Linked DNA regions of Oreochromis niloticus. The protein of the gene in region 1 purifies or fractionates together with the protein of each later gene. This does not show direct contact. Links are inferred from orthologs where the notes say so. Each region holds a gene or a part of one and is shown in the gene's direction. Other genes may lie near its edges.

Region 1 (3,922 bases):
TGAGAAAGTTAAATAAGTGTGCTTCATATATTTAGAGTCAAACTGAGCTCTCTTTGCGTTAAGCAGCTTGTCAATAGCAAGAAAAGAGGCATGGAGCGAGAGAGGAGGCCTGATAAAACGGCTTTTAATTACCAGACAGTGAATGTTGGCCTTCCTCGTCCACTTTCCCCTCCCAGCTAAGTCAGGAGTTTGATTTCTGATAATGTGGATTGCTGACTGGGCTTCATCCTCGTTGTCCCTAAAGCAGAAGGATCTAACGTCACGTCCTGGGAGAGCACGTCTGACAAAGTGCCATATAGATCCTCTGCTTTTCATCAGAAGTCAGTGCTGGTCGAGGCATTAATCTGAGCGCTTGATGGCCTTGCTTGTGTTTCCCCTTTTGTATCCAGTTGCAATTAGGCGGAGTAATAATTTCAAGCATTGCATGGAAATCAGTGGGTCTTTAACCCAATAGTTGGTACAGGTGTAAGATCAGGAAGGATCAATGCAATGAACTTGTAACATCCCTCTGGGGGTGTTTTTTAAAGGTTCAAATACAGACAAGTAAATGAATATATGGTAGATTCAGTGTTTTACATTTCCTTTTCTTTTTAAATGAGATGGTAAACACTGATAGAGGAGTTCATCCTCAGGCCAATATGGGGTGGAGACATTTTTTGTAAGAGCCAATGAAACACAGCCTAGTGTAATGGTCGGCACAGCACACACACCACCACTGAAATTGTTTTCAACTGGCACATGTATTGTATAGCCAAATTTGAGCCATGGGCTTTAACAGCTTCTTATCATTACACAGAACCCAGGTGAACAGACTTAGGTATCAAGGCTGTGGGCAGAGCAATGTAAATGAACAACATAGAGACTTCACTTTACTCAGGGATCAATGTCTTTTTTCCGTGAACTGCAATCAGAGCTGTTTATAGAGTGGACAGAGCAGCTGCTCACTCATAGGGCCGTGATCAACAGAGGTTTTAAGAGCCCTTTTGTTTTACACTCAATTATATGCTAATGGCGAGTGCAGAGTGGAAACCTTTAAATACTAATGCTGTTTTAATGTCAAGTGAAAGAGGGAAAAAACACTTTTTAAAAGACAGGGGTGGTTTTCATCTCAACAGTAGTAGATTTCCGTGTAAGTGAGGGCCATTTACGAAACATTTACAATTGTGATCTAAGGTCATGTTTTTAAAGGAATATTTATCCATAATACCTCAGAAAGCTATTGTATTCTCACTATTGTACTCAACTTATCAACCTTGATCTCAGATCAGTGTTATCTACAGCAAAAGCGGTAATAATTCCTTTTCAGTGCAGAAACTTTCAAAAACTGTTTAAACCGTATGTATATTTCATTTTATAACATAGAAAAAAAAAAAAACCTAAGATCCATAAGAATAGCAGCGTTCTCTCAAACTTCGCCTATTAGAATTTGACAGATTGATATAGATAGTGTGCAAGTCTTTTATTTTGAAAAGGCCACGAGCGGATGTTGATTCGGAAGCGCTGTTGTAGCAGTTTCCTCAAAACTAGCTACACAGCTAAACACCTCCGTTAGTACAGTGTAAACTTTGTCTCGTGGAGCAGTGGTGTACACGTTCACACTTCGGGATAAGCCTTTCATACGGTTATGACTTGACTGTGGTGTCGGCGGCGACCGACCTCAAAACCTTTTTGTTTTTTTAAAAAGCTCCGCATCACTTAAATCAAGAATCCGGACAGAGCAGGATGCTAGCATGTGTCGTTAGCAAACTGCTGCAGGAAATTAGCTGGTTAGCTTCCACATCCAGTCAAGTATTATGAGGCTGAACCTTCCCTCTTATTGCTCTCACTGAGGTTAAATACTGACAGCGCAATGAACACCGAGGCTATAGTGATCCGTATAAAAACGCCGTCAGGAGACATGGACTCGTCCGTGGACTGTCCGTCTCTTCTGAACTTCAATGACTTGCTCGTGAGTCTGCCTCTTGCCAACTATCACTTTTCACTCATAGACACACTGCACAAGCCAAAAACACACGGACTGTTTCTGACTCCGCGTATCGTAACCCTGCCTCATTAATATCTGTCAGTCTAATAACCATCCTTAGCTGTCTGGTCCTAATTCAACCTGTCAAACATTACAGGTCGCAATCAGAGATGTCATGCCTGAAGCCACTGTCACGGCCTTTGAATGTAAGTACCTGCTTTAGAGTTGGACTGCTGTAATGCTGCAAGAGGAAATGGGAAGCTTTGAATGACTGTGTTTACACACCAAAACAATAGCCCTGTAATGTAGGGACTTGTAATCAGTTATCGGATTGGTCTGAAGGAGAGGAGATCTCATGCAGCTGTGTGGGACACTTGTTTATCCATCATATACTGTAAGCACCGATCCCTGCTGTCATGGGCTAGACTCTAGCCATCTTGAACTGGCTTCATCTATCTGAGAGAGTAAAAAGCTTCACACATTTCATTTTCATTGTGTTAGCTTCTCTCTTCTCTGTTCCCTTTTTTACTACCCGTGTTAACCTCTAGCCTGCGTTTTATCCAGAAATGCCATAGCTGCTGTACTAACGGACTGATTGACAGGAGCAGTTGAAGTTTCTCTCATTCAATCAAATTAAGATTTAGGGTCTTGGAATAGGCACCATTCAAGCCTGTTTATGGATAGAACATGCAAAGAGTTTGATTGACATACAAACATCAAAATAACGCTTACTGAGTGCTTTTATACGTTATATTTTATTGTATGATTTTGATTGTATGTTTTGGCTCCCCAAATTTTGCTATTGCATTAATACTTAATATGGAATGATATGCTTTCTTGTTTGCTTGCCTTTTTTTTTAATTAAATGTTTATTAAATACATAATAGTGTTGTTTTACAGTATCCTCTGTTTATATTTATATCACACTTGTTCTGTTTTGAATTTTCTCTGTGATTTCCCCCCTTCCCCATTATTAGTATTTTATTTTTTACAGTTGTACTATTTTTGTTTATGTGTTGTTTTTGTGTTTTTTGTTTTTTTAGATGAAGATGAGGTGGGAGACAGAATCACAGTAAGAAGTGATGAAGAACTCAAAGCCATGTTGTCATATGTGAGTACATAAATGTTGCATGCAGTACTTTGACCAAGTCAGGCAATAATACCCACAAATTACAATACTGTGCAAAAGTCTCGAGCAACCCTTGCTTCATCTTTATATTTTGTTTCCAACAAGCTGAACTTTGTAAGTCTTTAAAGTGCTCTTGAGCATAATTCTCTAGGCTATCTGAAGGTCAGGATATTGGCTGATTTTTATTTTTTACTCATTTTTAGTTCAGTCCTTCTACCTGACCATTTTCAGAGGACTGATGTTTGTTGTTTTGAGCTATTAGTCAAAAATCACATATCTCGGCAAGGTTTGTCAAGAAATCAGAAATGGAGAACAAAAGAAGATGTGGTAGGCCTAAAAATATTATCTACAGTAGATGAAAAGTATCTGAAAGCCCAAAGGAGTCATTAAGACATGGGAAAGCGAGGGTCAGATCAGCATGAAGAAAGGTAAAGCAAAAAAGAGACAGAGAATTTTTTTTAAAAAGGGTGGGAAAAAAAGACACAAAGGACAATAGGTCACCAACTGCTGCATCTGTAACAAAACCCATTCAACAAATAAACAGCACCTGATAGGGGATAGATACGCAAACGTACAGTCTTTCTGTGTGTATGTGAGTATGAGTTTTATTGTCTGTGTGATTGTTTGTGGTGTTCATGAAAGTTACATGATAATGAGTTTGAGAAACAAAAACAGCCACTGGTAGCCAGAGGTGACAACCTAAATTACACAAGATATGGACTGAAACTGTGTGGCAACAGGTCTTATGAAGTGATGAAGCTAAATTTGTTTAAAGTTGGTTGAGTTTAGGTTAAAGGTAGAACAGTGAGTTTCTACAGCTATCTGTTAAA
Region 2 (3,922 bases), on another chromosome or scaffold:
ACTGATGGTAGTGGGTCGAGAAGAGGGTGGCATAAGAATGGAGCAAACAAACATGTAGAAGGTGTAATCTGAAAGAGACAGGAGCCTGCTCAGTGGTTTCAGGGGAGAATGTAACTGGGCAGTATTAGATGGTAGTCTGTAAGATGAGTTTGGACATCAAAAAGAGGAAGCAGTTGAAGGCAGAGATAATCACTGAATGGTGGAGGTTGAGGAAGGAAGAATGCTGTGCAGAGTTCAGGGAAGAGTTGAGGCCAGCTCTGGGTAATAGTGAAGAGTCATCAGATGACTGGGAAAGTACAGCTGTAGTGGTGAGGGAAACTGACAAGAATATATTTCATACTTAGTGTTGGAATGAAAAAATACAGGAAAGCATTCAAAGGAAGAAGTTAGCAAAGACAAGGTGGGATAGTAAGGGAAATAAAGAATGTAGACATGAGTACCGGTAAGCAAGGTCTACAGCAAAGGAAAAGGCTTATAGTGAGATGCACGTGAGAATGGACATTGAGAAAGGAGAAAAAGACTTGTTCTATCAGCTAGGCAGAGCCCTCGACCTTGAAAGGATGTGCAGCAGTTCAGGGTGATTAAGGATAGAGACAGAAATGTACTAACGAGTAAAGAGGGCTTGGAAGGTGGAAGGAGTACTTTGAGGAGCTGATTAATGTGAAAAATGAGTGGGTGAGGGAGGATGCATGAAGGACAGGAGGACAGTTGGTGAATCGGGAAGTGCAAGGGATTAGTAAGGAGAAAGTGAGGGTAGGTGTAGAGAGGATAAAGAGTGAAAAGTGGCTGGTATAGATGGTTTCTCTATACCTGTTGGAGATGAGCAGTGGACTTTTTACCCAGATTGTTTACCTTCACGATATTCAAGAGTGAGGGTGATGTGCAGAACTGCAGTACTTACAATAGATGAAGGTGAAAATAGATGGACATGTTTAGAGGAGGAATAATGATATAGAGGACACGGAATGCTGAAGATGGACCTAGTGGGCAGGAAGGAAAGAGGAAGACTACATAGAAGTTTAATAGATGTAGTGAAGAAGGACACACAGATGGATGATGATGATGTTAGGGATAGGATGAGATGGAGACAGGTGGTTCTCTGTGGCAATCAGAAGAAGATGTGGGGTTCCTATTTTTCATTAATTGAAGTCCTTTTAAATTAAATTCTTTAAGTCTCTATACTTTAAGGTATTATAACATATTAAGACTAAATAAATACAAAATTATTCTTTACCTTTACACTTCATTTTTGTTCTGACAAATTTAAAACGATGATGTTTTGAAGAGAAGTTACAGTGAGTCATTTATTTTATTTTATTTTATTTTATTTTATTTTATTTTATTTTAATCTAGTCGAAGGGAAAGGAACAGCACTCTTGTGTTCCGATTTCCGGCGTCGTCCTGTTGACGCAATGACGTGATGACGTCAAACGGAAATCTGTAGCTCCAATTCTTTCTAGAATTCTGTAGCACTCTCCAGCCCGCTGTCTTCAGGGAGGTTCATCTGAGTTTGTCTACATCTAACACAGCAAGAATCTCTTCTAAAGAAACAAATACGTATTTCTGCGCAGTGCGGCGATTTTGCGGTCTGTCCTCGTTTCAATCAAACTTGTTAGCTTCTCATAGCTCACGAACGTAGCCGAAGCCTATTGTAAGCTAACGGTGTTAGCTTTGGGGTCTTGGTGTCAGGATGTCCAGGATAGATTACAGCGTGTGGGACCACATTGAGGTGTCGGACGATGAGGATGACACCCATCCAAACATCGACACACCCAGCCTCTTCAGATGGAGACACCAGGTATACCAATAAGCCACGCATGATTACAATTAAGATGCTACACATAAAGTAAAAGTGGTGCATATTTGACTTGAACTGTTAGCTGACCTCGTGTGTTTACTTTGGTGCTGTGTTCACTTTTAACATAAATATAGGAATGTTTAACTTTTTGCAACTAAGTCCATATTTGACAAAAACAAGTAGTAAAGATTTTATGTTTTGACCTCAGGCTCGTGTGGAGCGGATGGAGGAATTTCAGAAGAAAGGTGAAGAACTAAACAAGGGACTGTCCGAGTGCAGACGCAAGCTGGCAGACACACAGAAGAAAATCAAGGAGCTGACCATTTCAACGTCAGAAGATGCCAAAGCAGAGTTGAGCAAAGTTCAGGCTGAGGAGAAGAAACTGAAAAAAGAGGAACGGGATTGGGAGAGAAAGGTGGGAGACTACCAACGGGAGGAGAAGAAGATGCCATGGAATGTAGACACGCTCAGCAAGGATGGGTTCAGCAAGGTGAGGTAGAGTAAGTGGAGCTTAAAAAGCACTACAGGTTTTACATCGCACATCATTTATTACACTCTTTTTTTTCTTTTTTTTTTTGTCAAGTATTTTCAGGAAAACAAAAGCTAACAAAACTGTTGTGTCTTTTCTCCGTATTTCTTCTTTTAACTTGTGCAATTGTTTGTTTGAGCCTGACATCCAAGGGAAAAATTGGCCAAAAACATGATCACCACATGTCCCCCACAACAGAGCCATTAGATCCCCTCAAAAGTTCAACACCTTGTTCACCTTGCTTTATCATCCATTCTACTCCTATACCACTGTGCCCATCTGTCCTGCCTTAGAATAAAATGTGTGAAAGGACATGGTACTTCAGATGTGGCTTCAGCTGCCATCACCTGCACTGATCCTTGGCTCAAAGCTGGAAGTATCACCAGTTACTTAAGAGTAGACGTTAGACTGAGGGAAATAGGAAAGGGCACACATACAGAGTCGACTTTTCTGTTTCAACATTTACAGTTGATTTAGAGTTCTGTGTTGAGTCTTTGCAGATCCTACAAAGCAACCTCCACAAGGATCCAATACTCTCGCCAGCATTCATGCTTGTGCGTAGTGTTAATTACCTGATAGATTCAGCAAGTATTAAAAAAAAAGTAGCCAGAAATGCAGAGGAGGAATTGACAGTACTGAACAAGCCAATACAACTGTTGTTGTTACGACATACCTACAGTGTAGATTCAATGCAGAAGTCTACATCTACTGTCAGTCTTTGACTTTGTAACACAATGAAATCTTTTCTTGCAATTTTCAGGTATGGGTTCATTAATATTAACATCTCTAACTTGTATGCAATGACATTCTTTCTGTAGAACTCAGAGACATTGTCTTTAATGAGTCCATTCTTCCACTGTTCTTTTCATAGAGTATTGTTAATGTCAAACCTGAAACTGAAGAGACCGAAGAAGAGAAGGAGCAAAAGCACAAAACATTTGTGGAGAAATATGAGAAAGAGATCAAACATTTCGGTAAGCACTCGCATGCATCATTATTTACTCTCGTTATAAGGTACTGGTGAGAGTAGAGATGCTTCTTCATTACTCTCGTTACTGCAGGCATGTTGCGGCGTTGGGATGACAGCCAGAAGTACCTCTCTGACCATCCTCATCTGGTATGCGAAGAGACTGCCAACTACCTGGTTATCATGTGCATCGACCTTGAAGTTGAGGAGGTAAGTAATACAAACAGAGCTTGTTTGTCATGAATTCCTTCTGCACGTGACCATACTGCATCTAAATATTAAGCTGTAAAAATGCTTCTTCCTTGTGCAGAAACACGCATTGATGGAGCAAGTGGCTCATCAGACCATCGTCATGCAGTTCATTCTGGAGCTTGCCAAAAGCCTCAAAGTTGACCCCCGTGGATGCTTTCGCCAGTTTTTTGCAAAGATTAAAGTAACTATGTTTTTGTTGCTTTTATTTAACTTGGTAGCTATAGTATAACTTTTGAAAAAGTTTCCAGAGTGTGATTTATTGATTTGGTTTAGTTTTTGTTGTTTGAAAATGTTTAGTTTTAGTTTAGCTTCTATTAGTTTTAGTCTTTTTAATTATTATTGTATGGAAAGTAAATGTCAGAGTCAAGGTTTAGGA

Evidence for each region.
Region 2: the proteins of map2k5 (region 1) and hsp90 co-chaperone Cdc37 purify together in Homo sapiens (affinity purification with mass spectrometry; 3 studies listed by BioGRID and IntAct, with this or other methods). This does not show direct contact. The link is inferred for Oreochromis niloticus from reciprocal best matches to the Homo sapiens genes MAP2K5 and CDC37.

Annotation. Positions count from the first base shown.
Region 1 is NC_031965.2:12,301,711-12,305,632, reverse strand, and holds the start of map2k5 (dual specificity mitogen-activated protein kinase kinase 5), read left to right. Parts: upstream 1-1,475; 5' UTR 1,476-1,849; coding exon 1,850-1,948; intron 1,949-2,120; coding exon 2,121-2,169; intron 2,170-3,006; coding exon 3,007-3,074; intron 3,075-3,922. UniProt on the Homo sapiens protein: Acts as a scaffold for the formation of a ternary MAP3K2/MAP3K3-MAP3K5-MAPK7 signaling complex.
Region 2 is NC_031969.2:24,156,470-24,160,391, forward strand, and holds the start of hsp90 co-chaperone Cdc37, read left to right. Parts: upstream 1-1,456; 5' UTR 1,457-1,690; coding exon 1,691-1,798; intron 1,799-2,006; coding exon 2,007-2,288; intron 2,289-3,198; coding exon 3,199-3,301; intron 3,302-3,388; coding exon 3,389-3,504; intron 3,505-3,604; coding exon 3,605-3,727; intron 3,728-3,922. UniProt on the Homo sapiens protein: Co-chaperone that binds to numerous kinases and promotes their interaction with the Hsp90 complex, resulting in stabilization and promotion of their activity. Inhibits HSP90AA1 ATPase activity.